Arabidopsis thaliana: one gene and its partner. Each later gene encodes a partner of the first gene's protein in a complex. Each region holds a gene or a part of one and is shown on either strand. Other genes may lie near its edges. The genes, in order: SnRK1.3 and AT2G28060.

Region 1 (16,668 bases):
AATTAAATATTATATCTCAAAAAGAAATATCATTCCGTTGAATTAGTTTGTTGTTTCGTTCTTTTTTTAGTTTGTTAGGTCCATATTTAGAAGTTATATTAAGAATTTAATTTAAAAAGTAACAGCATAATTTTATTTATATGAAACTGTGACCGTGCTACTAGTACTACATCCAATTTAAAAGTGAAAACCCGTTCAACATCCAATTTGATTTTAAACACTACAAAAACTCCCACTATCATAATTTTGAAATTTCAACCAAACTTGTGAAATTCCTTTTTTGTATCTCTTATTAAGTTGAAAACAACCTAAACGAGAATACCTCAAAGTCTGCGTTATCTTCTGAATTCTGTAAGGTCGTTGTTACTTTACTGCAAAGATTAATTTCTGAATATCTTCAAATCCTTCTATTCTCATCTCTTCGTTCATAAATCATTTTGTAGGGTTGTTTCGAATTTGACTCGTAAAACATAATGATCGGAGCGTTAAAGGTTGGTGCTTGCTTGCTTCTTACGCTTCCCGAAGATGTGTTTTCTGTTATCTCTCACTTTCTTTCTCCAAGCGACATTTGCGATATAATCTTTTGCTGCAAAAGTCTTTGTGCCCTTGTCGATTCCGAGAAGACATGGCTTGTTCAATATGAAGTCGTTAAGGTTCTTCCTCAGTTTGAAATAGTCCAATGGCGAATCGGGATCTCTTCTTACAAGGTGCTTGTAGGTTTTTTGTAGAGGTGGTGAAGCCTCTTGTTGGGATTTGGGTTCAAAAGAACCCTGTAATTGGGATTTCTTATCCGTTGTTGGATGCCGGATAATTCCGCAAGAAGTTGGTCCTATGTGGATTCAAGAAGGACAACTTATGTGGTCGCCTGTGTTTGAGATAATATGCGGTTTTGATGGCTTGTTATGTACGAAAATATGACGCAAATGTTTTATTTTTTTTTTACTTAAACTGAAATTTCGTTAAACTCATATGTACTTTTACTTATTGTATCTAAAATTTTATAATTTTATGTACAGAAAACATATATTAGTAGGTGATCACCCGCGTTACGCCGCGGTTTTTTTCGAGATTTTTTTGTATTGTTTAATTTAAATATAATTTTTATTTATCTAATCTTTCACTCATGCAATAAGCAATTAGTTTTAGTATTAAAATTTTTTTTTTCTAATAACATTCTCAACAATGCATCATACACATAATTTATAAACAACGTTTGTCTTAAAGCAATTTAACAGAGGGTAGCGTTGGATTTTAGAAACCTAAGAATTTGATGATGAAGCTCCTTACGTATTTTTTTATCATCAGTGATTTATTATATAAATATCAATTTAAAAGAATAACTTACTCAAATCATTAAGTAATACATGACTATTATACACTCATACTTTGAGTTTGGATTACAAAAAAAATCTTCGAGTATGAGAAAACTATTAAAATGGTTTTATTGAAAAATCATGTAATATTAAATAAATTTAGTAATAGTACAATTAAATATATAAAATAATATAATATGTAAAATTAAATAATAAATATATCACTAACATATAAGTTAAAAGTTGAAGAGTTTACATTAATTATTTAATAGATACATGGCAAATGCTAAAGTAACGATGTCTCAATCATATAGAGAGAGTTGGTCAACTTTCATATATACGATTCTACTACCTTTACAACTTACAGACATCATTTTTGGATGATATAGTGCGGAATCTTTTAGAAATGAATTCATTTAAATTCTTGAATAAAACATCATTTTAACAATATATAAGATTATGGACTGTTCATGAAACTATCTCCATATGTATTATGGAAATATCTCCATTTTGCCCCCTCTCCCCCCCCACCCCACCCACCCCAAATAACATTATGCGTTTGTCATGTTATTATGGACTATTCGTGTAGAGCCGTATGTCGTGTTATTATGCTAGATCCGCCCCTGGTCGTACGTGGTACACTATATGTAGAGCCATTTACCGTGTTCTCATCGATGATCGATCCCAGATATTTATTGTGTGGGTAAAGCCATTAGTTATAGAACTTTCCAGAAAATTATTGCTCGCCATAAAAAAAAACTTTAAAATTTTACTAGTTAAAACGGTTTAAATTAGAGCATGAAAGAAATAAAAGGTCTACATCGTTATATGTAGTTTTAGTGAGCTCTTTGGTTGTGAAAAATGAGAGAGCCGAAATCTTTATTACATGAAACGATGGTTGAATTTTTTTTTGGAAAATGGTCTCGAGGTAAAGAAATAATAGCTTTAAAACTTCTGTCAAAAACTAATAAAACTTAGACTGGTAATTAAAACCCGTTCAACATACTATTCCATAATATTTAGACACTAGTATTTAAATCTTCAACTATAATAATTTTGAAACCACCTTGAAAAATTCCATGTGCACGTATTGTAGTTTTAAATTTTAAAACTACATTTAACGAAGTTGTCAAACAATTATCAAACACTTCGTCGTCTTTTTGCCTTTCTTGTTATGTTGAGGATTTCAACGTTTTCCTTGCGTACTCTGCTTTAAGATCTTTTATGATCTTCAGAAACCTCTATAACCTCGTTTCTTTTGCTTTCTGATTCAAACCAAAACCAGAATCCCAAAGGCTGTGTTTCTTGATTTCAAAGTCTGAATTTCGTAAGGCCGTTGCTATTTTACTCTTAAATTTGGATTTTGAGTACTTTCATAAATATATTTTATCATTTGTGTGTTTAATTACCTTGGGTGGTTTTGTTGCGAATTGGACTTTTAGTACATGATGAACAAGGAATCGTTTGGAGCTTGCTTGCTTCTTACGCTTCCCGAAGATGTGTTTGCTGTTATCTCTCGTTTTCTTTCTCCAAGCGACATTTGCAATCTAATCTTGTGCGGCAAAAGTCTTTGTGCCCTTGTCGATTCCGAGAAGACGTGGCTTGTGCAATGTGAAGAAGTAAAAGTTCTTCCTTTGATTGAACTAGTCCAATGGCGAATCGGGATCTCTTCTTACAAGGCCCTTTGTAGGTTTCTTGTGGAGGTGGTGAAGCCGCTTCTTGGGATTTGGGTGCAAGAAAACCCTGAACTTGGGAATGTTGTTTATGTGATGCCTGGTTTCTTGTCTGTTGTTGGGTGCCGGATAATTCCACAAAAGGTTGCTCCTTTGTGGATTCAAGAGGGCCAAGTCAAGTGGTCACCGGTGTTTGAGATAATTTGCGGCTTTGATGGCTCTAAGGGTTTTTTCCTCCATGGAAGAGACAAACAAGGTAGTTTCTTATACCCTGGTTTCGTTATGGACATCGAGAAGAGTTGCAATGTGCTTCTACTCGAAGTTGAGCCGAGGTCAGAGAAGAGTTCGTGCAATGAGATTGAGAGAGAAGTAGGGGATCCATTTGGAGATCTAGACTTCAGTGATAGAATGAACTTACTAGATATAGTGACAAAACATGTAAGTCTACGAGTCGATGAACCATTAACAGGAAATTTATTTCCCACCAGGTCAAAATATGACGAAGCGATGATGTTGGAACGCAGAAACATGCTCCTTAAAATGCTCAAATTTGGTGGAAACTGGAAGCACATAAACTTGGAGGAGGATGAGCAGTTGTGTTACAATCATATAGAGATAGACATAAAAAAATTGTTGGAAAATCTTGGTGATGACATTGACAACATGGAGGATATAGAGGATCAGATAGAGGTTACACCAAGGAAGAAGAGCTTTCGCCGGTTTTTAAGAAGTGGCATTAAACATATTCTTGGGAAGTTCAGTTCTTCAAAGATCAATTCGCCTTCGAGCAGTGAGACAAGACGTTCGAATCGCCAAAGCTTTCTCAGCTCTGGTAATACATTTTGCCTTAGTCTTAAAGCTTCATGCACTTTGATGTCTTCATATGAAGGGTGGCCAATCATGAGCGCAGACAACTTTTCCCTTCATAAACTACCAATGAAGAAACCTCTCGATCACGACGTGTATGCGGGTTTGTGGGGAGGAACGTTTGGCTGGCCCCCTGGGAAAGATATTGAAGATGAGTCCCTTCTCTTATTAATGCTCACTTATGGAGAATCTGAAGAGGGTAGTGAGAGAATTCTTTTCGGGACGAAAATACTCAGTTATTTTGCTGAGCATCCTAATGGATCCTCAATGTTTGTTGTAAATATTGACACGCCTTCCCTTGAGCCGTTTCCATTTGATACAGATGGAAGAGATTTCGAGCATTCTTACACGGGAGAGGGTATCGCTGACGGTTATGGATTCCGATACCCCGGTTCAAAACCTGGTTCCCTTTTCGTAAGCTCTAATGATCTTCTTGCATTCGTTTGGCAAGGAACTGAAGATGTGATTACATTGCAAAGAATAAACCTTGGAGAGATCTTGAAGAAGAGTTTAGGTTCTTGTGTTTCACCTTTGCTTCCAACAAAGAATTTTACATATACTAAAAGGTCTTACTCAAACGTGTTTGCCAAGTCATCGACCTATTCGTCTTCCTCCGAGTAAAAAATATTGTATGAAGAAACACATCAATGTTGGAAATGGAACACTTTGCAACAGATCTTGAGATAATAATTTTTACTATGCTTTTAATGTGTGTATATACCAAACAATGTATTGCAACAAAAAAAAAAAACTAAATTTGTGGAATTCTTTTTTCCTTGTATGGTTTATTTTACTTTGCAACACATTTACACTTGATTAACATTGAGCTTGTGAATAGTCCAACACATCTATGTAGTTTGAGTAATAGGTTTGATACTAAATCCAAACAGTAGCAAGTCCACAAGTGTATCCTTTAGCAGCATGTTTTATATTTACTACATGTGTAAATAACTAAATATCAATGATGATAATGAGCCTATTATATTGGAAATAGAGAAGACTTGTGAGTTTCAAATTTGTTGCAGCAATCTCCTATGATCTTCTTCGTTCAGGGGCAAACACATTGGTGTGACATTTTATCAAATAAGCAAAATTCAAACATGGAGGTAAAGGCGATACACATACACCTTTCCTTAAGAGCTCTCCAAGGTTAAGTCTTTGCAATGTCAACACAGCTTTAGTTGCTTTCCAAATGAACATGAGAAGACCTTTAGATGTCACGAAAAGTGTACCAGGTTTGTAACCAGGATACCGGAAACCATAACCCTTTGCAGTACCTTCTCCTGCGTAAGAATGCTCAAAATCTTCTCCATTTGTGTCGAAAGGAAAACCCTCAAAGGATGGCGAATCAATTTTTATAACAAACATTGCAGATCCATTAGGATGCATCCCGTAGTGAGTTCCTTCGAGTATTTTTGTCCCTATAAGAAGTCTCTCAGTACCATCTTGAGATTCTTCATAAGAGAGCATCAGTAGAAAAAAAGCCTTCCCTGGTTTATCTTCTGTACATTTTCCTGGTGGCCAGCCAAAAGTTCCTCCCCATAACCCGGCATACTCATCGTTAGCGATGGGATCCTTAATCGGTAGCTTATAAAGGGCATAACGGGTTTCGTCCATGTTTGGCCAACCTTGGTAAGAAGACAACTTAATATTGGAAGCTTTGAGACTAAGACCTATTGAATCACCAAAATTAAGAAACTTTTGGAGATTCAAAGGTCTAGTCTCACTTCTTGAAGAAGACATGTTCTTTGAAGAACTAGACCTCCCGAGAATATGCTTTATGCCACTTCTGAAATACCTACTAAAGCTCTTCCTTTGTGTCTGATTCTCAGCGTCCATGTTGCGAATATCGCCTTCAAAACCTAGATGCTTCCACGATTTGTTTATGTCTACCTGATTTGGAATATTTGTGCACTCATCCTCCAGGTTCATGTGATTCCAATCACCACCAAACTTGTGCATTTTAAGAAGCATGGTTCTGCGTTCCAACAACACCGCTTCATCATCTTTTGACGTAGGAAATAACTTTTCACTTGATAGATCAGGTACAGGTATACCAACAGTGCTTGTCACTATGTGAAGTAAATTCCTTCTATAACTAAATGGTAGTTTGCGAAATGGTAACTGAACCCCCGTCTCTACCAACAACACAGTCTCATCAATCTCATTGCACAACTTCTTCTCTCGCCTCGTCTCAACCTCAAGTAGAAGCACATTACAACTCTTCTCAATGCCCCTAACGAAACCAGGGTGCAGACAGCATTGCACTTTTCCATCTCTCCCATGGAGGAAAAACTTGGCGGAGCCATCAAAACCACAGATAATCTCAAACACAGGTGACCACATAACTCGAGCCTCCTCAATCCCCAAAGGACCAACCTCTTGTGGAATTATCCGACACCCAACAACAGACAAGAAACCAGGCATGACATAAACAACATTCCCAAGTTCAGGGTTTTGATGAACCCAAACACCAACAAGAGGCTTCATTACCTCTCCAAGAAACCAACAAAGCGCCTTATAAGAAGAAATCCCAATTCGCCATTGGATTATTTCAGATAAAGGAAGAACCTTTACTACTTCACACTGCACAAGCCAGATCCTTTCTGAATCCACAACGTCACATAGACTTTTGCAGCATAAGCTCAGATTGCAAATGTCTCTTGGAGATACAAAACGTGCTATAACAGCAATAACATCTTCTGGAAGAGACAGAAGCAAGCAAGTACCAAATGATTCTGACCCTAAATCGCCGTTCCTCATCTAACACAAATCAAATCGGTAACAAAATCACTAAAGATAAACACATAAATTTGATGATACTCAGAAATCAAACTTGGCTTTACAAAGTTTTACCTGATTCATACTTTGAAGATCAAAAAACGCAGCTTTGGGATTCGTCAAAAATATCAGTTTTGGTTTGAATCAGATCGCTTTTTACGTAAACAAGATTCAAACTTTTCAATTACCCATCAAAGAAGAACTCGATCCGAATCAGATTGTATAAGAAAAATGAGGAAATCGCTAACTAAGAAGACGATGCGAGAGAGAGACATTGGTCTTTCGTTGCAAGTTTAAAGTTGACTACACTGTTGAAGTCTTCCTAGTGCTTCTTTTCACTATTAGTAAGAACTTTAGGGACTAGTTTGAAATAATAGAATAATTTGCAAATGTCCTTTTCTCCAAAACACACTACACCACACCACAACGAGGCTGGAGATTTGTAGGATGGTTCTGAAATATTTGGGCCTTTAAATGGATACATATTGGCCCATTTAAGAAAAATATTAGCCCATAAGAAATGGTTTTGATTCCTTCAAAAGTTCATTAATTTTGAAAGCAAAGAATTGACATCGGTTTATATCGGTTGTGTAGAACAAGAGTTTTTTGATTTTTGTGTCTCGTAAAAACAGTCTCTAAACTACTTAAACCAAGTCAAATATTAGACGTAGAAATAAAGGTATTTTGTTAAACACGTTATTACGATGGTTTTCAAAGTGATGCTGATTGGTTTATATAGATGGGTTTCAATGACAAAAATCTAATGTTACAGTTTAGTTTTCTTTGTAATAAAAAATACTAGAAGAATAACGTACGCTACAATATAATACTGCTGACGTTACTTTTGACGATACTCGAGTGTTTTTGAGTCAGACACACTAAACGAAATTGGATAGACAATATGAGAATTCTAAGAGATGAGGAGAAATAAATTGTGTGTCTGACTGAGGAGTTTCTCGTGAAGCTCCATGAGAGTTGGTTGTGTATCTTTGGTCTTTAGTTTGATCAATCACCGATTTGTAATCTCTTAGAAGGTAAATATATATTCAACTTGATCTGTGATCAATCACTTTGCTAAACAGAGTTAATTGATCAAATGTGGTTTCATTAAATTATATTTTAGAAATATAAAAAAATCTATGAAAATGCATGTACTGTGTGTTTTTCAAACAAAATTGGCATCATAAATCGAGAAAGTGTAAAAAGTACATGCATTTTCCAAAACTTAATGCAAAAAAAAATACAATCTATCTTCTTTTTTTTTTTGTTTATTGTCAAGGATTACTTAATCCATAAATACAGAAACATAGAAAACATAATTGAATTTAAAACATTGAAGCAATAATCATCGAAAAAACATTGATGAAATGAGCTTTAGAGGACCTAGCTAACCGCAATAATCATCTAAAACACCAGTGATGGTTGAGCTTTAGAGGACACCTAGCTCTCTGAGAAACGCAACACATAGATCAAAGAAGATAAACTGAGGTCCATCAATTCTTAGGATGTCCAGCAAATATTTGCCTTCGCGTACTTTGTATAGCTATAACAACAACCAAAATGATACAAATTAGGTTTGCATTTAAGAAATTGCTCTAAATAGATTTTAACAATGTAAATTGTTGATAATTTTATATTCGCATCAAAACAAAAAAAATTGTTATTTATGGACTATTAAATTATAGTATAATATCTTAAATTGGATAAATATACCTGAATTTCAAATTTGATGACGGTCGGTAAGATGATGGCACATTCATCCTCAATTGTATGATTCTTATAGTAAGCAAAGCTTCGGACCCATCTACATTTTATATTGTAGAGTCCGATTTTTTTCCAGCATATTTTTAGATTTTGAAGAGCTTTAAAAATTTCAGTCATGATATCATAAGGACTCCCTTGAGACTGTCAAAATTCCAAACAATTATTTTGATATATATATTGATAAACTGTTTTGAATAGAAAGAAAATTAAGAAAACATGAGACGAAATTGAATGCTAAAGTAACATGAACAACAATGGATTAAACATTAACCATGCATGGACTAACCTGAAGTCCAAGGGTCCATGTTTTGTCATCTTTGACATTGGATTTTAGTCCATACAATGCCGAAAATGAATGGCCAACATGTGAAGTAATATTTTGAACTGGTAACGTCGAATTAAATATACCATCCTATATTTGTAGGATTAAAACGAAAATATAATTATATAGAGAAGTAATGTTTATTTATTTTTCTTAAATTCAGGTTGTAGAGAAAGAGAGTAAGTACCGAAATCTCTTTAAACTTGGATTGGAAAGGGTCATTGGGAACAGAATTTTGGTTTCGGTTGTCTAGGATTAGATGGTATGCAACTGTAGCCTAAAGTAACGAAATTTAACTTGAGTATCATTTATAAAACTATTTTGAGTATAATAGGATTATTATATGAAATATGAAAACACTCATACCTCGTTTTGGATTCTATTGGCAAGAGAATCAACAACATGGTTTCTATCAAACCCTATGTTAACCACGTTTTGAATTATCTCCTCCTCAATCTAGAAAGAGTAAAATTGATACAAAATTAACTGAATTCATAAAAATGATGTTATTTTGGTACAATTTAATGAAAACAAATTCTAACCTTTTTAGCTTGGTCTATGGTATCTAATGGAGGAATAGAAAGATAAAGAGGAAGATGATTATTGAACCAAGGATGTTGACGAATCTCAGTAATGCTAATTCTCATAGTAGGATCAACCATAAGCATTCTCGGTATCAAATCTCTAGCAAAATGTGATAAATGATTTGGAAGAGTATACATTCCTCTCTAAAGAAATAGAGAAAAAATTCATAACCATGTGTAATATATATGATTTTTATAAAAAGATCGTTGTTTATTAATACCTTTATTTTCTCGAATACATTAGGAATATTTTCGTCATCGAAAGGAAGAGTACCACACAACAGAGCATATAATATCACCCCACAACTCCATATATCTACATCTGGTCCATATGGTTTTCCTGAAATAACCTATATAAATAAGTTTCAGGTGTGAGTAATTGATACTTCAAATATATATCCAAATTCATGAAATAAAAATGAAGAATATGTTAATCTCTTATACCTCTGGAGCAGCATAATTAGGGCTTCCACAACTAGTCTTTAAAAAATGACCATCATGCATGACATTACTCAATCCAAAGTCAACAATCTTTATGTTGCATTGCGAATCCAAAAGCACATTCTCGGGCTTAAGATCTCTATGAACGATCATATTGCGATGACAATACTCTACACCAGATATGATCTGAGAATATATGGTTTAAATAAAAGTGTTGCCAATCGAAAAGGATATAAGGTTTTATGAAATACAAAATGTTTGGATAAATACTATATATATACCAAACCTGCTGAAAAAGATGACGAGCCTCGTCTTCCTGTAATTTACCTTTCTCTACAATATAGTCAAATAGTTCTCCAGACTTAACATATTCCATCACAACATAAATGTCATTTGGCGTCTCTATAACTTCATATTGACGGATGATATGAGGATGCATCAAAAATCTGAGAATTTTGATCTCCCTTTGTACTACAAGAGACTTAAACAATTTCATTTATTAAGATTACTAATAAATAACAACGATTATATAAGACATAAAGCGTAATATTTTTTTGCCACATAAAGTAGTCCAAAAAAAAAAACAAATCATAACAGTGACCTATATTAATGAACAGTCTTTCGGCTTCGAGACCTAAGATTCGGATAAAGTATTTTCGTAGAAAAAAACAGATTTTAAAATAAAAATATTTTTCTGATTTCTCAGTATTAAAATACAATCCATACCAAATAAACTTGTAATTATATTATCAAAACCAAAAATTATTGATCATGGTGGTTGCCGAAATCTCGTAGACCTATTAGATCTCGTGAAGAAAAATAAAGATACATCTATATATACATTTAGAGAGGTGTTATACCTCCTCTAATCTTTTGTACAAATGAAAAAAGAGTAACAAAATTGAAGTAAATAATACATACCTTTGATCTCAATACCCATGTTCTTAATCTTAGAGCGATTAAGAATTTTGATAGCAACTTTGTGACCAGTAGCTACATGCAGTGCTAATTTCACTTTCGCAAAGGATCCATGTCCAAGAGTCTTACCAATCCTATAATTTGGTAGAATCGATACTAATTTATTGGTAGTTTTTTCCGATGATCCATCCATTTTAATTACTATAGATAATAAAACCTGAAATATAAAAAAGAAATATATAATTAAACCTCTATAACAAAAATATATATCAAGGTAAAATATCAATAAAATGGACGGATTATGAGAAAAAAACTACCTATAAAATGAACAATAAAAAATAATTGATGGTGAATCTAACTAGAAAATCCACCAAAAGGTGATACGCCCCAAATCAAAATCATATTTTAGCAAAATTCATTTCGTTCACTATATGAATAGGTCCCCTAGTTGAAGGAAGAAATTTGTGGTTTGACTGATTGTCTAAACCGATAAAAATCAGTAAATTTTCATAAAATTCATAGATTTTGTTTCTAACAAAAACCTTCAAATTGAACAGAATTTTTTTTGGAAAAATGATTTAGACGTAGAAGACTCTTAACATAATCTTATAGAGTATGGTTGATGCAAGAAAAAAATGGAACCCATGATACAAATTATATGAGCATGCACACGAAAAATTGCACCACTAGAAAATTGAGGAAAAGTACAAGAAAAGAGTCTATGGGCACATATATTATCATCTTTCCTTTGTTTTTACTCTCCTTTGCTGAGGTAAATCTGAGTCACACTGTTGACTAATGGTATCACACTTTTTTCATGAATCATATTAAACAATAAATTAATTTACACACAACCATGTTAAGAAGTAGATCAGTTTCTGTTTTAACTTAATAGTAATTACCTAATTATGACAAAAATATAAAATATATTAGTAAAATGGTTAGATTTTAATATTTTATACAGTTTTTAGAATCTAATTATTCAACATTTTGAAGACAGAAATATCTTTCCTGATATACAAGTTGCCATTAATGTGAGTGGGTACTTTGACTAACCATACAATGAATATTTCTTTCTTATTTTAATTTAGAATATACATATATAAAGAAAATTTCCAACGGAGAATGTTTTGTAAGAAATTAGAAAAAATCAATGAGTTTTTATTGGTGAGATATTTAAATAGTAATAATAATCTTTAATTTGAAGTAGATTTACTAGTTAATACTTTTAAATATTGTGATTTAGATTTTTGTGATGAGAGATAAATTTTTAATACGTACTGAAAAAAGTGTAACACCCTTTTTACATTTCCATAAAAATTAGATTATACATTTAAAAAGATTTTTTTGTATTATAAATATTTTTTTATAAGTTATTATATAACTAAAACTAAAATTACTATTCAAAACCGCGATGAAATGTTCAAAATAGTGTATTTTTGTGGGAAACGAGAAAAGCCTAAGACTATATCTTCTTTGCATGCCCTTTCACATACACTAAAATATGGCTAGATCTTGTTGAAAGAGTCATTAGAACTGCCACAGACCCATAGATTAGCTGATTTTTTTTTTTTCAATTTATGTTCAGTTCAGTTCTATTATCACTATGAACCATTTTATCGGGTTTGCCAAAAAAAATTCATGTATGTAAAAAATTCGTCAAGATTTGTCTAACTTTTTATTTTTAAAGTAAAAGATAAAAAATCAATGATAATCGTTAGGAAATAGACAACACCATGGAGATGGTAAACAAGTAAACAAATAAACATTACTTTATTTGGTATATGATTGAAACAATTTATTTGGATTATTTATTAAGTCTGTTTTTTTTTCTTTTAAACTAAATTAGTTTTTTTTACCAAAAAAAGACAAATATAACTTCAAAGTGGAGGTGTATGCTAGAAAATAAATGGACAACAGAAAAAGACTAAAACAATACATTAAATTTGAACAAATCTGTATATGTAATCAAAAAAAATATCAGTGTGCCTCGTGTCCTCCTGAATCGCTAAGAAAAGGATTATTGCCACAAGAAAAGGATTATTGCCATAAAATTTTCAACAGAAGAGACCTGAATAATGTGTTGCAGTTATCAACAATCAGGTTCTCAACTAACACTTATCAATTAAAGTCTAAACAAAACCAAACATTCTATGTATATACATATAAATTTACACACACAAAGAGATATATGTATTCAATTAAAGATTTAGGAGGGTTTGGTGGAATTTAGAAAAACAATTGATTTGGAGAGATTTCGGTGAATTTTTAGGATATACTAGATTTTGACCCGCGGTATACCGCGGGGCTAGGTTTTTAATAAAATATGTTATATAGAATGTATATGTAGATATTTGTTTTATTAATATTGTTTACTTTGTTTAGTGTTTAAGATAATGTATATATAAAATTTAATTGTTTATATCTACGATTTCACCCGTAGTATATCGTTTCGTATTACTATCGATCCAAACCTGTCATACCATTTAATCATGCACAGTGAAATTAAACATATCTAATGGATTTCACTTGTGATATACCGTCTCGTAATACCATCGACCAAACCCGTCCTACCACTAACCTTGTTCAGTAAAACTAGACATTATTTTGTTATTTTTGTTTTAATAATACTTTAATTTAAAAAATATTTAATTCAAATCAATTTAAAAGTTTTCTTTCAAATGGTTATTTAATTGTTGTAAAGTTTATATATTATAATATTATAAACATGTCCTACCATCTAGTCCTACTATCTAATCATGTTCGGTGAAATTATTTTTTTATTTTTTTATTTTTTTTAATAATATTTTTATTAAAAGATTTATAATTTAAATCAATTTAAAGTTTTCTTTCAAATGATTATTTAATTTTTAAATATTTTAACCATTTTGGCAAAAATAATTAGGCCGTGGAATAAAAGCATATTCCTTTGAATAAGATTTGCTTTGATTTGGTAGTTAACTTTTTGCATTGAATAAGCTAGTGACAGCCATTGTAAATAAGTTCCAACTCCAGAATTCATTTAACAAAATGGCTGCAAAAATGTATATGTAGATGGTGGAGTTGTTGGCGCAGCCTAACCGTAACAAGTCCTAAGTTCGTTGATTCACATAGTGACCGAACAAAGAACAAAATTTGTAGCTCGTTGATTTACAGAATAGCTGAGAAACAAAAGAGATAGATGCTTTAAAAGCTCTGAATAATTCAATAAAAAAGCTGCCGTCTATTCACGTAGGAGAGAGGTTTAAATAGTTGATTACAAAAGATCAAACCCTAAAGCATAATGGAAAAGAAAATCAAAAACCTAAAGCCCACGTAATAACTAAACCGAGAAAATAAAGAAAGCCCATAAAAACAGAGTATGAAAGCTTGAATAAAAACAGATAATGAGAAAGATAGAAGATGCGCTGCATCAGTTGTAATATTTTTTTTACCTTTTGTTGTGAAAATTGTTTGTGATTTAATGAGATTTGAAGGAAGAACTTCGGATGATATAAAAAGATTTTAGAATAAAAAATGAACTCAAGAAAAGAAGAACAGCGAAACGATGAACAAAGAAAGCCTTCTATTGCTGCACCAATGTAATCTCATTATGTCCCATAAGAAAAGAAACGACAAAGTTCCCAATTAACAAGATGAAAAGTCGATTAAGATTATTGAATAATCCTCAATGAAACTTGACGTCGTCTGCTTCTTCGGTCACGGCGGCAAGACGAAAAGACAACCCCACTACTTTGGAAAAATCTCAACTCAATATGTAACCCTAAATATGTATGTATGTGTAGCTAAGAATTCACAACTAAACTATCCTAACTCCTAAGATCTCTAAAGACACAACTCATCTATCCTACATCTAAAATCATTGTTTTAATACAACCCCCTTTGTTATTCCTGAATCTGATTGTAACGTGATAACGTCTCTATCAATGTAAATTCTAATTTACGTTAAATCATGTTTAATTTTTCTTAATGACGTTTAGTATATATGTTCGCTTAAAGATATTAATTTGGTCCTATTGAACAAACAGTTTAATGGAATCGTTCTCATTTTTTTTTGTTATGTTTAATATACTTCAACTTGTAGGTTTTGACTTGGTCAAACTCTAACATGTCTCATTCATGTAAGATTTGTTGCTAAATCTTCTTGTGTCCGGTGTCCCACTTCCTCATAGTAAACTAGTTATCTATTTTATTTCGTGAACGGCAAAAATATATTGTATTCGAAAGAATCTTGTATTTGATGCTTTAGAATGAATCTTTATATACAAATGTTCAGGAAAAAGTCAGGCAAGGACTTGATCCAATGTAAAACTAAACTATAAAAGTCACGTCTTAGTATGTAGAGATGATTCTATTAATTACAAGTTTATTCAAATCTCATATCTTAACAACATCTCTTGAGAAAAAACTGCATTTGGATGTTGGAGATGTGATTTAAAGCATCGGCGTATCATATGTGCTTTTTTCTTTGGCAGGTTCTAGATAAAAATTGTAATAAAAATGGGTACATGTATGTCAACACATTCAAGAAGACTTAGGCCACGAAGGAAAGGCCGTCGCAGATTTTCTAAAAACATATCTAAAGTGTCTGATATTAGACGCCTAAGTGATGTTGGAATCCAAACCTCTTTTGGTGAGTATCAATGTAGCATTAGGATGAGAGTTGTGATATTGATTTCTTGTTTATCCAGAAAAAAAAGATAGGTGGTGAATGTTGGATCTTCGGTTTTTGTTGCAGATATTTCTCAAAACGATGCATGGTTTGATTCTTCAAGTCTTTTCTCTGACTCTGATGACGACTTTATTAGCCTACATGAAGGTAAATGTCAATCTATACATATATATGAAATGTTTTGGTTGTCTCTTTTTTTTTTTTTGGGTGGTATTGAATATTTGATAAAGTCTAGATTCTTTTCAGCTGATAATGTTTGGTTAGAGGGTGGCGTAATGGGTAAAATTCCAAATGGTCAAGTGGTTGAGTTTGAGGCTTCTTCATGCATTGTTGATGGAAATGGAAATTACGAAGAATACCATGAGAGTTACTTGAAGATTGATGGCGGTAATAAAATCGAGAAGTTTATGAGCAACGGTTTATATAAAGATACTAATGGTTTGTCTGGTATTATTGGAAACAACAAGAAGAAACTAAATACTTATAGTAGCTTTAAAGGATTGAAAGAGTTAGACCCTAACCCTAAAGAAAAAGCATTAAAATCCAATTTGAGCCGGTTGATGCCATTGCCAACGGTTAGTTTCAACGACAAAACTCTGAACTCCCCCACATCTCAAAACCGGAAGTCAGCGGTTTATCAGGTTTCTTTCAAGAGAAGATCATGTGATGGTGAAGAAGTTACCGAACATAGTAAGTTGTCAAATTTTTTACTAAACCGTACAACATCAAAACATGTATATATGCATTCTTATGTGAGCCTGTAATTTTAACATGTATATTTTGAAATGGTTTTTATATAAAGGGTCGTCGAAAAGATTGTTGTACCGTCCCAAAGCCGGATACACGATTCCGTGCTATGTCAAAGAGAAGCATCAATCATCAGGAAGTTGGTGTGAGATACCTCCATCAAACTTGAAGTTACGTGGCGAAACTTATTTCAAGTATATTCCTTAACTTCTATGTTTATATATACATATATGTATGCATTTAACCGGCTCTAAGTGGATGTAGACTGTTAATACAATGATAAATTTGTAGAGATAAACGAAAACACCCGGCTCCAAACCAATGTCCATACACTCCAATTGGTGTTGACTTGTTTGTGTGTCCAAGGAAGATTGATCATATAGCCCAACACATTGAGCTTCCCAACATCAAAGCTGTGGCAAACCTCCCTGCTCTTCTAATTGTCAACATCCAGGTAAAAACCACTAAGAAAGTTTCTTTAGATCAAAAGAGATGTGTGGTAAAGACTCTAATGAATTTGGCTTTTGCAGTTGCCAACTTATCCAGCCGCAATGTTTCTCGGTGATAGTAACGGAGAAGGCATGAG
Region 2 (16,218 bases), on another chromosome or scaffold:
AGAACACAAGACTTGAGGAAATGGACATGAGAAACAAGAACGGTATGCTTCCCAGAAACTGCCCTAGTAAGAAGACAAAAGCGCCCGAATGCTGGTTCGATGCTTCACTTCTATAAATCTATTAAAAGAAAAAGTAAACTTCAGAGCTCAAAAGAAGAAGTGATCAAAGATAAGAGAAATCAAAAAGGAGAAATAGTCACCTTGATTTCTTTTAAAAGTGAAGGTATTCCAGCAATCCCCAACAGTGAAGCAAACGAGACAAAAACAAATACCGCAGCAACTCTTGTCTGTAAGAAATATTTACACCGAACGATAATTGCATCTCTTGGTACTCAAATGTGACATGCTGAGAATGGTTTAGAAGACTTACTGCAACAGAAGACAAAGAGTGACCTAAGCCAGAATATAATGTGCCAATACTAAGTGTAAGAATCATGTAGAGGATAAGTCGGAGCCAATAGTATTTCCATTCTCTTGACATAACTAAAAGTGATCGCCATGTGAGCACTGCAACACGTGTAGCAGCACCGGCCTTTCCCTTGGATTTAAGCTGTGTGCCCTCCTGCAAATGATATAGGAAACAAAAAGAAAATTGATTTACTAACACATGTCTATTTACAGTTATGAAGCTATGATCCAAAAATTATCATTAGAAAATTATTACCCTTTCGGTAAGTTTTATTATCATAGCTTCGACAGAATCAGCATCTGCAGATGATTTATAAGTCGCCTCGAGAGTGCGAATAGCAACAGCAGTATCCATGTTCACTGCTGAAAAGTCCCCATTATCGTCCTGTCGTTTATATTTAGCTCATATCAGAAAACTGGCGTTACAAGAAGCTAGAAAGAAACAAAATCATATAACTCAAGGTGTATAATGGTGTATGCACCTGCCAGTTTTTGCACATTGCAATAATCCTATCGAAATCTGTGTTTATAGCCCGCAAAAAATGATCTGATGGACTTTGCATTATCGGGCACGGGAATCCAGCATTTGAAAAATGCTTCAAGGAGACAGACACATAACAAGCAAACATAATTTAGAGAGTGATCATTTGGCCATGATATGAGAAATTTTTCAAGTTCAAACAATTTATACCTGTAAGCAAGCCAGTGTCTCCCCAAAGAAGAGTGTGTTTCCATTTGATAGAAGGCAGATTCTATCAAACAAACCAAACACTTCGGTACTACTTTGATAAATGGTGAATACAAGAGTACATCCCATACTTGCAAGCTTTTTTAGTGTCACCATCATAAGCAGTGCCGAAACACTATAAAAAGAGCAAAGGAGCCAATTTTAGAATGCAAGATTTTACCTTTTAGTAGAAGGCAAATAATAACATAAGTCTAGAAATGGTTAGAACCTGTCAAGATGATAAAGAGGCTCATCGATGAATAAGATATGTGGTCGCATCACAAGTTCACGAGCAATAGAGACACGTCTTCTTTCACCACTTCGAAGACCCTTCATGTAACAATGACCACCGATCAATTTGTTTGCATAATCACTCAGAGACATGGCCTGTATCGCATCTTCAACAACACTCCTTTTCTGAAAGAGGAAACCCGGAAGCTGAAGCAACGCTGAATAGTACAAGAATTCACGAACTGTAAGTGAACCAATCAATTGTGTTTCCCTCTCAACAAATCCCTGCAATGCAGCAAACCAAGAATCAGAAACACATTACAAACCAAAAAGAAAAGATCAAGAAAACAATATACAATAGTGACTCACATAGGATCCATAAGGCATATGTGACTTTGAGCCATTCACAAACACCTCACCGTACATTTTTGCTGAAGGAGGCAATCTTCCTATAAAAGATGTGATTAGATCAAATGAAAAAACAAACTAACAATGAATAAACTGACAAATGACATACCAGCAAGAGCCCTCAATAGAGTAGACTTCCCGGATTTTGCAGGACCCATAATTACAGTCATAGTCCCGGGAAACGCATAACCATTCGAACTCTTTACAACCTTATCAGAATATTTTCTCTTTCCCTTCATAGTAACAGTCAAATCTTTCCAAGCAATAGAAGCACCAGCAATCTTTCTAACAACACCAGTCCCAGCTCCTCCTTCAGGAACAGGAGGAGAAGCCATTGATCCGCTATTCATCTTCGACAACGAAGGAGAAACAGGCGTTGTTGTAGCGTCATTAATAGAATCACCACCACCAGCTTCATCTTCCATTCTTAAATCAACATCAGGTGTGTCTTCCCATTCAGGAGAGTCTTCAAAAGATATAGGTTGTCGAAGAGAACCAGGTTTTCTTACATAGAAAAAGTGACTAGATGGAACTCTACTAGTAGGACTACTTGCAGAAGACGAAGACGAACGGTATAAATCCGATTGAGACTGTATCTCCTCCATCCTTTGACACCTCAAGAACACAAAATGTTCCAAAGAAACTACAAATTTTACAATAAAATGTTTAGATTCCATAATCAATGCAACCAAAACAAAAAGGCCAATAAGTGAAGAGACTACTATATATAGTAGGAATCAGTGAAGCACTATTAAAAATCTAAACTTTTTCCAAAAGCTCACTAAATTACAGTTTAGTGACTAGTGAGAAGTGATTCCTAATTAAGTAACTTAGTATAAATCATAAAAACCCTAACTTTTTTCAGTTTCTGCATTATTGAGACACTGAAACAGAGTAACTTCAAGTTCATAGATTTTCTCAGCAACTAAACGAAGACTAAGCAGGAGAAGAGACTCAGTTCGAGTTATGATGAGAACAAGATAGAGAAGGAGACAAACCTGGATCTGAGTGAAGTAAGATCCACAGAGAAAGACGCACAGAGACTGGAGAATCTCTTCTTGGTAGCAAGAGTGAGAGAGCTCTCAAGTGACGACGTCTCTCTAACCAAACCCTTTGGGTTCCGCAAATAAAGAAACAAAAAAATGGATTGGGAATTGTTTTTTGTTTTGTCTGAAACCAAATGCTTTAACGAATTACATAAAAGTGAGCAAAATTCCATTTTTTTTACCTTTTAAGAAAAAAAAATCATATTATTGTATAAAAATATAAACTTAATTTGCATAAAAAGAATTATTTATAGAAAGTATTGTGAAAATAGGATTTCTTAAAATTTGAAGGCACTATGGCATTTTTGCAGATATTATATTTTTCCTTTGGATTTTTTTCTTTTTAGTTAAGTTTTTCCTTTGGATATATAAAGTTATTTTGGGGCTTAGTTGAAGTAAAAAAGTTTTTATTTCTATTAGAAATTTTAAACAATGCCTATTTTCACAATACTCTTGTGAAAAAATGTCAATATAGAAAATAATTTAAAGAAAAAAAATACTAACTTCAACTTTAAGCTTTTTTGTTCGTTTAAGCTTTAGATATCTGAACAAAGGTTTGGCCTAGTGCTTTTCTTAATTATGCAAACAAATTGCTGACATTTTAAACGATATAATACAAAATTTTGAAATATCTTGCTCTTTTTTGGTATTAGTATCAGCTTTTCTTCTTTTTATTTAATGATATTAATTGAAAAGAAAAGAAAAAGAAAGTGATATTTGGTTATCTTTATAATCAAGCATGAAGAAACCAGCTACTTAAAATAAGAAAAAAATATTGTTTGTATGATAAATGGCTTACAGATTTTTTTTCATTTTTTCTCGATGTTAACGTTATTTGAGTAACTATTTACTATCTGAATGGGAAACACTATTTGGTTTTGTTGAAATTGGTGGCAAGTTTTAAGTGGGCTTGAAGAAGTAAAACGGCCCATACACAAATTTGCAATTATTTCCCTCTTTCCGATCATTTTCCTTGAAATCGTTCACGTGATCCATGATACTCCTCCTCCATTGCCACTCTATTTAGCAATTTACTCTTCTGCTCTCTTTTTTTTTTCTTTCTTTCAAGTTTCACCATGCAAAGACAGAAAATATAAGAAAATGCTTCATTTGGTATTCTTGGTTTTCCTATAAAATGAATATATCGACCTATCCAAGGCTAGTAGCTTGATTTTTGTAGTGGGTAACTTCAAAAGGAAGAGTCTCTCAAGACCAGGAGTTTGGTTCTCGGCGGTGGGAAAATGATTCATTTAGCCTGTTTTTGTTTGTAGTTCAAAAATCTACGTACCAAAACCCCGAAAATTTTGGTCAACCAAAAATAAAATCCGAACTATATAACTGCGTTATCATCTATTCGGCACTACATAGGAACTTGAGGTAACAAACTTAACATTTTCTTGTTTTTCTACTACAAGAAAACTGTCCAATTTTCGACCATGAATTTAGTCAGAAATTGGTCAAAAACAACCCTGAATAAAAGCAATAAAGAAGAGTTATCCAAAACTAAAAATTTGAATAAAAAAGCATAGAAAATAACACATACTTTTGCATTACATACGTCTTCATAAATATAGACACCAAAAGAATCAACACATCAGTCTTATTTGTATAATTAAATTCTCAAAATAGAAGAGAAAATAATCAAGGCGATATCTTGGACCGGGAGGTAACTTTAGATGAGGAACACTTAATGGAAACAAGAGGCTGATAATTTACAAACCGGCTCGGAGCGGATCTTGGTCGGAACCCTTTAGGCATACAACTCTTTACTTGTGTCCCATGAAAAATCTGATTCCTCGGATTCAATTTGACCGTGTCTTCGACTGATAAAGGCATCATCGACGAGCTTGGAACACTCTCCAGTGGTATTAGTCTCCCTCCAGCGTACAAGAATAAAAGGTTTAGAGTGATAATGACAATATGAACTCTTGTGTTGAACATTGGGTTTTAGTTTGAAGTAATTATTTTTGTTTTTTTGAGAGAGTTTGGAATGATAATGTGAGGGATATATAAGTGGGAGGAGATATACACTGGTTTAGGGTTAAAGTTCATAAATGGGCTCGTGAGTGATGGCTGGAAACATAAGAGAGAAGAGTAAGTAGGAGAGGACAGAGGCAAAATGGCTGGAAAATGGTATTAATCAAAATACGATTTTATATGTGTGATAGAGATACAAAAAAGTGTTGATGGGGTCGGGAAGATCAGAAAGAGGTAGGAAAGTCCGTGAGTTTCAGAAATTACAATCAAAGATCAAACATTTGTCTTTGCATTTATGAATTATGACACACTCACACGCAATTTTCTATATTTTCAAACTATTGTTTCTCTTGTTTTAAAATGGTTTGGAGATTGGACATGGATTTTTAAATATATATATTATTATGTACACGGTTGCATGGGTTTTCGGGACTATTGGATTTTGCTTTCTTTTGGATAACAAAAACACGATAAATATTTCATTAAACCATACAAATCTTCGATTGATAAATACATATACGAAAACATACCTAAGGAAAAGGAATCCATTGTTGTAGGATTTAGGTACCATGCGGTTTTCCAAACCATAGAGTAATCTCATATGTATTGAAATTTAAAAAAAAAAAAATACAAAGAAGAACTAAAAAACAGAAAAAAAAAACTAAGAAAATAGGGAAATTAAGTTGGAGTCTCTTTAATTTGTTTTTTTTTTGTCATCTAGAGTTATTTTAATGTTACCATGATGAAATACTTGATAAAATACAACATTAAACCGAAAGAAAACGAGATTTTTTCGAAGTTTAAGCCCTAAGTAAAAAAGTCATAAATAATACTACAAAGCAAGAGGAAAAAAGCAATAGTAGTTGAAATCCCACCAAAACTATAAGTCGCATAGTTCTTGAAGATTATTTGAAAGAAAAGTATCGCGGATGCCCACCACCAACCAACGATACACAAGTCCTCCTATTGAGATGAACAACAACCTTCAGATTTCAGAATTTTTAAGCTTTATAACCTGATAACCACTGCCCAAACTTTCTTTCGTATGTGGTGATGTCATAAATCGACAAGAAACAATAAACATTAAGATTATGTGCCTTCATTGGATCATGGACTGAAAATTAAGCTCTTCGATCAACTAAAACAAATTTATCATCATTGTTTTCATACTCGCTGCTAAGTTTGCAGGGGAGTATTAGAGTCCACAACTAAAACAAGTCCAAACCCAATGTGAGGTCTACATAAGTAGAATTTTAACAAGTTAGAAGATTCATATAAACAATTATGTAATGAGAACTATGATTGTAACTTTGAGAGAACTCTCTTCCTTCATCTTATGAAATATCAAATCTAGAAACATTGGCTTTTGGTGACAAACCTTAAGCTCCTTTACATTTTTCTCTTCTTTACATTTCAATAAAGCTCACTAGAACTATTGCATTTCTATCTTTATATAATAAGCTCAATGAACATCAATCTATATTTGTCTTAAAAATGTCAAATAAATAGAAGTTTCATGAAAGGACCAGACCTCGATCAAGTCTGAGAAGCATAGACAAGGAGTGAAGATTTAGTCTCGATAACACCATTCTTAAGAGACGAAAAAAGGTAAAAGATCGAATCGCATAGAATCAAAGAAATCTTCACATATTCAGAGGAAAAACAGCATGTCTAGCGAACACTAGAGTCGAACAAAAGCAAACCACCAATCACACATCCTTATTTGTCAATTATTTATTTTGGAAACTAAAAAGAAAGTTAATGAGTAAAATAGTTTCCATAAGAAGAAAAAAAATGTTTTCTGAGGAAAGAAAATGTTTTCGAAGGACAGCAAAGTTTAAGCCAATAAGCAAAACAAAAGCTGATGCTTGTCGCGACTGTGTTCGTCAAGAATCTCCAGGACGAACCCAATCTTCTCTCTCGAAGCTGTCTAAAATTAATCAATCAATCATTGAGCTAATCATATTCTAGGTTAAGTAAAAACAGAGTAAACCCTCTCTTTTTTTCTCTTTCTCTGCCTTTCTCAATTTCGTTTCGTCTCCTTCGTTCTTCCAATTTCCGTCTGATTTTATACGAAATTTGCATTGATATCGAAGTAAAATCGAATACCCATGATTCAAAATTTCATTTTTTATGCGACTGATTCCTCAATTTTGATTTTCCGGTGATTTCTAGGGTTTTCTATTAGGTGGGTGTTATTTATCATTTGATGGGTCATTTACTGATGATTTTGCAGGTTTTTGTTTTAAGGATTTGTGTAGACTTTCATTGCTGCTACGTTTTTGAAAGGGTAATTTGAAGGGCTTAGCTTCCCAAAGGTGAGAATTTTAACTCCAGTTTGGCTTCTGATATTGTGTTCATTGTTATGTATTTTTAAGCTTAGTAGTTGTGTTTTAAAGTTGTTCCAGTTTGGTTGATAAGTGTGTATGTGTGTTCATCAGATTGGGTGAGTACAGTTCTTTCATTGATATCTCCAGTTGATTTGTGGGAATTTTGTTCTGTGTGTATAGGATTTAGACCTCAAATATTGGATTCTCTTTAAGCATTTAAGTGCCTGGTTTCTTCATCATCACTTGATAGGAGGACTTTACAAATTTTATTCTGAACATGGAATTTGGTTAGCCGAATAACTTCGTGGGGATTAGTTTCTCGTGCAAGGAAATTCTTCATGGTTCTGTCTTGGAAGTGTTTGGAATCTTGAAGCTTGATAGATTTTCGATGTAGGCATGATGCGGTTTTCTTATAGGTTTAAAGGGTCTTTAGCTGAGATATGGTTCCTATGGTGTGTAATAGGTTTAAAGGGTCTTTAGATGAGATAAAACTGTGCAAAGAGTTCATATAATAAATGGTTAAATCCTATATATTATCTGTTCAGTGTACATAGAGAAGAATTAGCTGTGGAATTTGGATGTACATGATAATAACAATGTAGTTTATGTCTTCCAACTTGTCTCTGTTGTGATAATGATCAATGTGTTTCTATTCTAACTCCTGTGGTCCATTGATTTTTGAATCCTTTGTCCACCTTAGTACTTTCTTCGAAGAAGGCATGGGAAAATATGATTCTCTGGTCCAACTTTCTTAAGACTGTCTGCATCTTTGGATCCTTAGATTTGTCTACGGGATTATGAATTATTTGACTTTTGATACCGATTAGACAAAAGTCTTACATTTCACACAAATAAGAGTTTGCATCATTGTAGAGAACAACATTGTTTTCATTTCTGCTTCAGTGTTTTTGAGTTGAAATGTAAACACCTCTTTCTCTTAGATTAGTTTGAATGGCACTTGAGCTGGTGTGACCTACATTCATTTTGATTGTTTACTTTGCATGCTATTGCGGTTTAGTTATGATTATATTTTGTTTCAGGCACTAGGTGGCAATCTTATCCAAGATGAACAGTCAAAATCCTGATGATCATGTAAGCCAGCTAAAACACCTTTTTGCCTTCAACCAACTAATCGAGTAATTTCCAGTCTCCCGCTCGATTTTTCAATCTTTTATCGTTTTCTTAAACATAGGAGGACACAACGGTTGTGGGATTTGAAGTACCTGTATCACCGGTTTCAAGTTACAACAATGTGTATTCCTCAACCGAAGATGAGACAAGAGATCCTCCAGCAGTACCGCCACACCTTCAACACTCTCTATTAGGCAATCAGGGTAGCATGGAACTGGCTTATGCGCCACAGAATGTTGTCCTGAACCACCTCTATATCGAGAACCGAGACGCCCCAAGATCTGTTGTAGCACTCGGTTTCTCGCATCGGTTCAGGACTAAGTTTGTCACTGTGGTGATATACAAGCCTGTCCAAAGAAGAGGGAGCGCCAATGTTTGAATAATGATACCTCTTTTTAAGTAGTGTTGGGAATTTGCTTCTTTATGGATTGAATTTGGTATACAAAACCATCTGGTCCGTACTGAATTTTATTCTTCTCTTACAGATTCGATTTAGACGGTTTCTAGGTACATTCGATTGAAATCATCTTCTTGTTCGGAGTTTATATAAAATCTCCATGCATTTTTATTTTTTAGGCCCAAAAAAGCTGATAGACGTGGGCATTGTTTGTTTGTAATAACTCCCTTAGATTGGGTTTAGTTAAACGAGCCCAAATATCGCTAATGAAGTTCTTTACTTGCTCATATGTAGTGTTACCATAAATTATTTAAATCTTTCGTAGCTCCAAAAAGGAAAAAAAAAAAAAAAAATCTTAATCAAAACTTTCTATGTCCGAGATAAGTTACCAAACTAATGCTCTAAAACTGGATTGGATCGTCGGATCAATGCATTAGTCTAAAACTGGATTGGATCGTCGGATCATTGCATTAGTTCGGTTTGAATGTAGATCACTTATACTCTCGTTGTTTTTAATTAAGTGTAGTTTTAAGGTTTTTTATTTTTTTTTAATATAAGTGTTGTTTTCACTTTTCTATGCAAACATTAAATGTATTTAATAATTTTTAATTAATTATATTTTTTTACTGGTTGGATTAGTTGTAATTAATGATGTTTTTATAGGAAAAAGATAAATTAAATAAAATTTGTATGTTTTCTTAATTTGTGTGCAAAAACTTTAAACTACAAATATTCAGTAACAGAGGGAGTATATAAAAACAAAGTTGGTTTGTGCATGGGAGCTTATTTGCACAAAATTGATTAAAAAATGGGTTCTGGATATTAATAAGACTATGATTAATATCCAGAACCCTATATTTTTTTCAATTTCATCGAAAGTTTCATCAATGTAACGTTAAAACAAATTATACATCTTACAACCGTCAGAAACTACTTTAAATCCATGATATCACATATATGAAACTAACATTATTATTTGAACAAATTAAAAAACATTATATTACGCATTATAACATTGAAAAACAAAACAAAATAACTAATATAGAATAAAATAAATTGTATCCGGATTGGAAATTGCTTATCTGATATTTTTTTTAACCGTATTTTAACTTAGAACAAAAAAAACAGAGTGTAGGGAAACATAAATTCTACCAAATTCGAATATATAAGAAAAACATAAAAAAAAATTAACAAATAAATTAAATAATGGAAAAAGCAGATAGGAGAGCTAATGGTTTAGTGGCGAATCTAAATTCTGTCCAAAGAATTGTCTGACCTCCCCTAGCTCAACATCTTGGGAAGAATATTAATTTATCCGTTTTGTTCATCCGCCTAAAGAGATAATTTATCTGCAAAGTTTTTTTATATTTGTAAAGTCATTCGGTTTTGCCAAGTTTTACTAGGTCTAGGTAGATTAAAAAGTAAATTCGGTTTGAAAGTTATATTTGGGTTGGATTACTGTCCAAGTTACGGGTATACCGGTCCAAATTCAATAACACATCCAATAAAATTTTCGATCTTAAAACATCTTCTTTGACCTGTCCGGATAGGTAAATGTCTAAATCTCTTTTTGAAATTAGGTATGAAATCTCATAGAACTAGAATGTAACTCCAAAATGATTCTTGAACATGAGTGTGACTAGCCAAGAGCATACCAAATTTAAGATCATTATGATATGTCCAAACTCCAAATTTAAGCCACACTTATTTTCTCAAAATTATACAGAACTATGATTTACTAAAATTGGATTCTCTGTCTATTTTTGGTATAGCTATTATCCTAGTGAATTAGCACAATGTTATTATATGCGCTCTCTGCTAAAAGTAAAAACCAGCTATCTTGTCAAAACAAAAATAAAAAGTTTCTTAACCAACACATGAAACTGATAAATACTATATAATATAAAATTAACATATATCGCTATCAAATCATATATCGTAGGTCCATAATCTTTCTTTTAAAATTCATATGAGTCTTTTTAATTTATTAATTTTGTCGTGCTCATAATGTTTTCCCTCTAAATCCTAGTTTTTGTAGTTTTCTGCTATGCAGGTATTTGTAAACAACTTATATTTTTGGAAATTTGGACTCTAAAATATAGAAAAGGCTATAAAATAAACACTGTGATGTGGCATATGTGTTGTACACCTTTGAATCTGACAATAAATTACTCGATCTAGTGTAACTTTTGCATATGAGATTTTCTTTTGTCGTCTATATATTACTTTGTTTCAAAGTTTAATAATACAAAAAAAAAAGTGTCTTTCATTTGATTTGTTGACACAGAGCAAAGCCAATGAGGATTCGAAACGTTGTAATTAGTACTCATAGTTGGCTGACTTTGTCTATCGACATAATGTGTTGCTTCTCTCATTATGAGATTCCATTAGTACAATTTTTTTTTTCGGCGCATCAAAACATTTCTATTAAATCGTTTTTTTTGTTCTCATCGAATTTGGTGATGGGTTAAAATCCAAAATCTTTAGACGAAAAAGCAATGATTTATTCCATTAGCATTATACATTTCATTTTCACATTGAATTGGAAAAGTAAAAGAAAGTGAAGAAGAGGGGACCAGACAGGAACTGGGGTGATAGAGTTTGGTCCATGGCTCTGTCCTTGAGCCCATTGGTCACGTGGCAAGGAGTGTCTTACTGGTGCACTTTTATGAAACAACCATGAGTGTCACGTGACGTACCATTGGGGCTATTGGTCCACCTCAACCTCATTGGAGCCATGTCATTACATTTATCCTGTTTACTTTTCTCTTAATAAAAAGTTTATAAGATTACAAGTTTTTGTTAGAAAAAAAACACACAAAAGAATTAGCCTAGAAACTAACAAAAAACAATGACACTGGACATACATTTGTCGTATGCTTAGGACAATGAAACATGCTTTAATCTTCTAAACGAATTTAACAATTTCATGATATATATTTTTTTGTATATATTTTATGGATTTCACGATAGGAAGATGTCTAAGCTATATTTACAAAAAAAAAAATGTCAAAGCTGATTGTTTAACCCGTTTATCCGAAACCAAAATTAACGATATTTTTCGAAAAAAATTGTTTCTTCCAATTAAACAATTAATCAAAAAAATAGTTAAATTTATATGGGGTAAAAAAAATTTGTTGTGTTGTATATAGGTAGGGGAAAAGAGGTGGCTACGAAATCATGACGGTTCGAAGAGAACACGTAATAAAGAACGCCAACTTGTCAACAAAATCTGCACCTATCCACTTCAGACTGTACGGACTTGGGGTCCCTTTCAGGTGGCCTGATTCGAATCTCACCTTTAGATACTTTTCAATATTTTGGACAATGAAAATCAAATTTAATGGAAAGATACGAAATGTGGACTAGATAAGATATGTATTCCCTTACATTATTTTTATAATCTGCTAAATTATGAACTAACAGTTCATATTTATTGGGCTAAAGAATTCCAGTTTATAGACTAACTTTTATTTTAGTTGGTAGATATGATATAAACCGCTCAAGACATTGGTTAGGAATTAGGACTACACACGCGCTAAATTCACGTTGAGAACTGGCTGGCCCAGTGTCAAGTGGTTTTCTTTCGAAATTATTTGAATTTAAAACTGTTATAACTAATAAAACAACAAAATTATGAATAAAATACGAAAGTTTGTTATTGATAGTCCGATAGAAAAGCAGATTAATATCTAAAGCTATGCTACCGTTTTATTCAAATAATTTAAAAATCAAAATTAATCTCTTATAGTCTCATTAGTCTTGGCACACACAATTTTAAACAACTACTCTTCACCTACACCCGAAAAAGAGGCGTGAGTATTAGTGAAAATGGTCATTCTAGCATGTATGCTAACACGATAACAACGAGCAATGAGCAATTCAATGCAATCAATATAACCTATTTTCATGTAATTCAGTTTCCCTTTTTCATTCTCCATCAGTTTCACTTTTTAAAGACCACACACTCCAAAGGCATCTAACGATCCCAAAAATTACAAACTGGCTTTGTAAGCTATAACAAATTAACAACTACCAAAAATAGTTATACCTTTTTATTTTATTTTATTTTCTTCTAAATTCTGTTATTTTTCTTTTCTAAAATCTAGTTTAAACACAGTGACGTAACTTGGCAAGTGCGTATTGGTAATGATAAAAATATTCCCATGATATTATAGTTTAGTGTTAGTAGTCTAATAATAATTGCGGTAATCCTTTTTCCAAGGGTTTTCAAAAACTATCTTTACCCTAAACCAAGTAACCTTTATCGAATAGATAGTGGACAATTATTTTATAAATAATAATACTTCAAAAAAATAATCCAGAGACCAGATCCTCGTAATAGCATCAGAGTTCCTTGGGTTCAACAAAGTACTTCAAACCACCTGAATAGTGAAGAGTGAAGACCATACTTTCGAGTTTTCTATATTATCAGTAAACATATACAATACACAAATATTAATCTGGTTAAAGTTACTAGTTAATTTTTCAAACAATTGGTATATATATGGATTTGCTTTTCCTGCTAATCGAAATAAATATATGATTAGTGGGGTATATAATTATATATATAAATATATATAGCTTTTACTTTCTTTAAATAAAAGTCGGGTTCATCCACTTTATATACTCCCTTTCTTTCAATTTATTTGATGTATAAAGGTTTGCCACAAAAATTAAGAAATCGTTGAGAGCAAAAATTAATATGCAAACCGCCAATATTAAAACTCCCAACTTCGAGAGAGACACGTCCAGAATCAAGCACCACACCCCCCATTTTGTTGTTTTCTCTTCAACTCTTACACATTGTATGACAAACATATTATAATAACTAACCAATGAAAATGGTTTTTTTACATGACATTTGGCAGGTAATTAAAGGAGGTCCGTCTGCTAATACTTTATTAGGTTAAACAAGTATGATCTATAAACTAAATTTACTACACATGGTAGAGTAAATGTAGTCAGGATCCTTAACTAAAGATTAATTTTATTCGTTATTATAGATGCCATTGAGAATTTGAGATTATAGGTTTTGTTTCAAGTATAATATAAATCTTATTATAATGTTTAATATAAGAAGCTAATACATATATGTATATTTGGGAATGTGGTTTTCGAACTTTGCTTGATGACAATAATTTTCTATTCGTGATGCACCAATCGTTTCATTTTGTAGACAGACATTTTTCATTGACCACTTTTAACACGTGAACTCTTCTCTTTCATTTCTTTAGTTCAATTCGAAATAAAACTGTTTGGACCATTTTCTTGTGTGCGTAAAATCTTTGTCTTGTAGATCTTTTGGTTTAAAGATCAGTTTGTGTGCATGTTTTGGCGGTATCATCGGTTTTGCTAACCTGTAGTACTTAGAGAAATTATTGTTTCTACTTTCTACTATGTACTCCATAGATTGAATTAATATCTTTTGCTACAGCTTTTCTTAGTACAAAAACAGGTTTAAGGTTCACTGTGTCCCGGGTTCAAATTTCTTTGAGAGATGATTAATTACGTCCTGTCGTAGTATTCATATGTGTACACATAGTATTTATGCCGTCTTGGATCTCAATATGTGTCAACAATCAATTTTTTGTATATATTAAAAACAACATTCAGATAATTCCTTGAATCTATATATTTTACTATCCCATCTATTTTTGGATATATATATATATATATACATATATATATATATATATATATATATATATCTAATTGCAATGCATCGACGACACCGGAGTAATGCAAGGTTCAACTTGTTTTGCAAAGACCATGCTAACACAACAACATTCCGGAATCACAGAAAAATCCGAGTAATTTTAAAGTGAATTTAATTGACTTACCAAAATACAGTCCATGAAATCAATACTGTGCCATTATTGCTTACCAAAAATACCATAACTTTGTTTCTAGTGAGAATTGAACTCAGGGCAGAAAAGTACATATTCTTTTCCCAAGACAATTTGGCAATGTTTTTCTTCTTAACCTAAATAGATTCAATTCAACTAAACGAATTACTAAATTATTACTCTTTGTTTTGCCACTCTCTTTTTAATTCGTCTTACCGTTTATCTTTAAGTTTCTCTACGTTTTTAAGTTGTAATCACTAAATTATTTTCACTACACTGTTAAAGGCTTAAAGCTTACCACCAAATGTTATTTAATTTCACTGAACTGTTAAAACTTTAGCTACTTCAAATTGCTATTCTTTTTGTTCTTTTTTTTTATAAGGGGCATAGATCCAATAATAGTTGCGCAAATAAGAAGAAGTTTACACATGTGAAGTGGGAAAGTGAGATATTCCTTCACGAGGTGGACTCCAAGATGGCAGCTCCTAACTCCATTTGTCCCAACTCTCTTTACCATAACTCAACTTCTGCCAATCAAACTCTCTTCATAAAATATTTATGCATATATTAACATTTAGTAACAAAAATTCAACATATGTATATATGATACCAAATAAATCAACATATATATTATTACACAGTCACATCTCTTACTGTGCATATATATTTAGACAAACACATCTCTCTCTCTCTCTCTCTCTCATCTGTGTTCTAGATCTCACCAGGTCTTTCTCTGGTTAATATATGGCTTCCAAGATCTGGTAATATGTTATAAATACGTCATACTTAAGCTTTTTTCAAATCAAAAATAGAAATTTGTGGGTTTGTCTCGTTTTACTATTTTAGCAGTATATATTAAGAAGTTCAGATGTTATTCGATCATCTGTTTTTGCTTCCCCTCTGCCATCTTTATCTTTTAGGGTTTCAATTCTTTTTCACTTTTTTCTTCTGGTTTGGAGATGGTTAGGTTCCAACTAAGTATACGAGATTAAATTTGACATCTTAGTTACTTCAAAATTCCTTCAATCAAAACAAGTCATCTCGACTATTCCGCCATGTTTGTATATACATATTTATATATTATATATATGAAGGTACGAGTTTCTAGTGTCTATAAATTAAGAAGGTTAAGTACCATATAGATGATATTTGTTAAGTAGTAAGTCACTCAAAGTTTGAGTTTGGGTTTGAGTTTGAGTTTGAGTTTGAGTTTGAGAGACAAAAGATTACTACAAGAAGATTGTTAAACAAAAATGGAAGACTAATTTCCGGAGCCACGGTCGTTGTTGGCTGCTGTGGCATCATCAAGATTCACATCTGTTGATGGACGGTGGTGATTCACTCTCCACAAAGTTCTCTATGAAAATGAGAATCTTGATGATGCTGCATCGGCAATCAACGACTATTCTTTCCCTCTCTCTCTCTCTCCCTCTGTATAGATTATTTGGATTCCATCCAGATCTTCTTCAGGTAGGTTTGTTTCTACTTGAAGTTTTTTTTTTTCACCTTTATGTTAACATATCCTCCCGTTTATTTTTATTTGTTATACATAAAGATCTGACAAAGAACTTTTGTGGGTATCTTGTTTCATGTGATAACATTGAGCATTTGATCTCAGGTTTTTGGCAGTCTTTATCAAGACATTAATAGATCCACAAGCTTCTATTTCAATAAGTGAACAAGAGTCACAACATCAAGATCAGTAAGGTAAGAG

Evidence for each region.
Region 2: SnRK1.3 (region 1) and AT2G28060 share a complex: the UniProt entries of both Arabidopsis thaliana proteins name them as parts of the probable heterotrimeric complex.

The regions. Positions count from the first base shown.
Region 1 is NC_003076.8:15,776,095-15,792,762, reverse strand, and holds SnRK1.3 (SNF1-related protein kinase 1.3), read right to left. Parts: upstream 10,857-16,668; coding exon 10,667-10,856; intron 10,217-10,666; coding exon 10,032-10,216; intron 9,932-10,031; coding exon 9,749-9,931; intron 9,655-9,748; coding exon 9,526-9,654; intron 9,449-9,525; coding exon 9,263-9,448; intron 9,177-9,262; coding exon 9,087-9,176; intron 8,998-9,086; coding exon 8,908-8,997; intron 8,811-8,907; coding exon 8,685-8,810; intron 8,540-8,684; coding exon 8,348-8,539; intron 8,178-8,347; coding exon 8,064-8,177; downstream 1-8,063. Other genes in the region: AT5G39470 (F-box family protein), read left to right, coding at 298-356, 492-653, 731-811; AT5G39460 (F-box family protein), read left to right, coding at 2,759-4,474; AT5G39450 (F-box family protein), read right to left, coding at 4,886-6,616, 6,710-6,718; AT5G39430 (DUF1336 family protein, putative (DUF1336)), read left to right, coding at 15,164-15,296, 15,402-15,482, 15,582-16,025, 16,138-16,276, 16,374-16,536, 16,613-16,668. UniProt on the Arabidopsis thaliana protein: Catalytic subunit of the probable trimeric SNF1-related protein kinase (SnRK) complex, a central regulator of cellular energy homeostasis, which, in response to seemingly unrelated darkness, sugar and stress conditions, activates energy-producing pathways and inhibits energy-consuming processes.
Region 2 is NC_003071.7:11,942,593-11,958,810, reverse strand, and holds AT2G28060 (5'-AMP-activated protein kinase beta-2 subunit protein), read left to right. Parts: upstream 1-6,557; 5' UTR 6,558-6,768; exon of another isoform or gene 6,769-7,033; 5' UTR 7,034-7,115; intron 7,116-8,167; 5' UTR 8,168-8,192; coding exon 8,193-8,219; intron 8,220-8,319; coding exon 8,320-8,637; 3' UTR 8,638-8,940; downstream 8,941-16,218. Other genes in the region: ABCG3 (ABC-2 type transporter family protein), read right to left, coding at 1-118, 201-287, 371-562, 665-793, 891-1,004, 1,100-1,271, 1,365-1,651, 1,736-1,815 and 1 more. UniProt on the Arabidopsis thaliana protein: Regulatory subunit of the probable trimeric SNF1-related protein kinase (SnRK) complex, which may play a role in a signal transduction cascade regulating gene expression and carbohydrate metabolism in higher plants.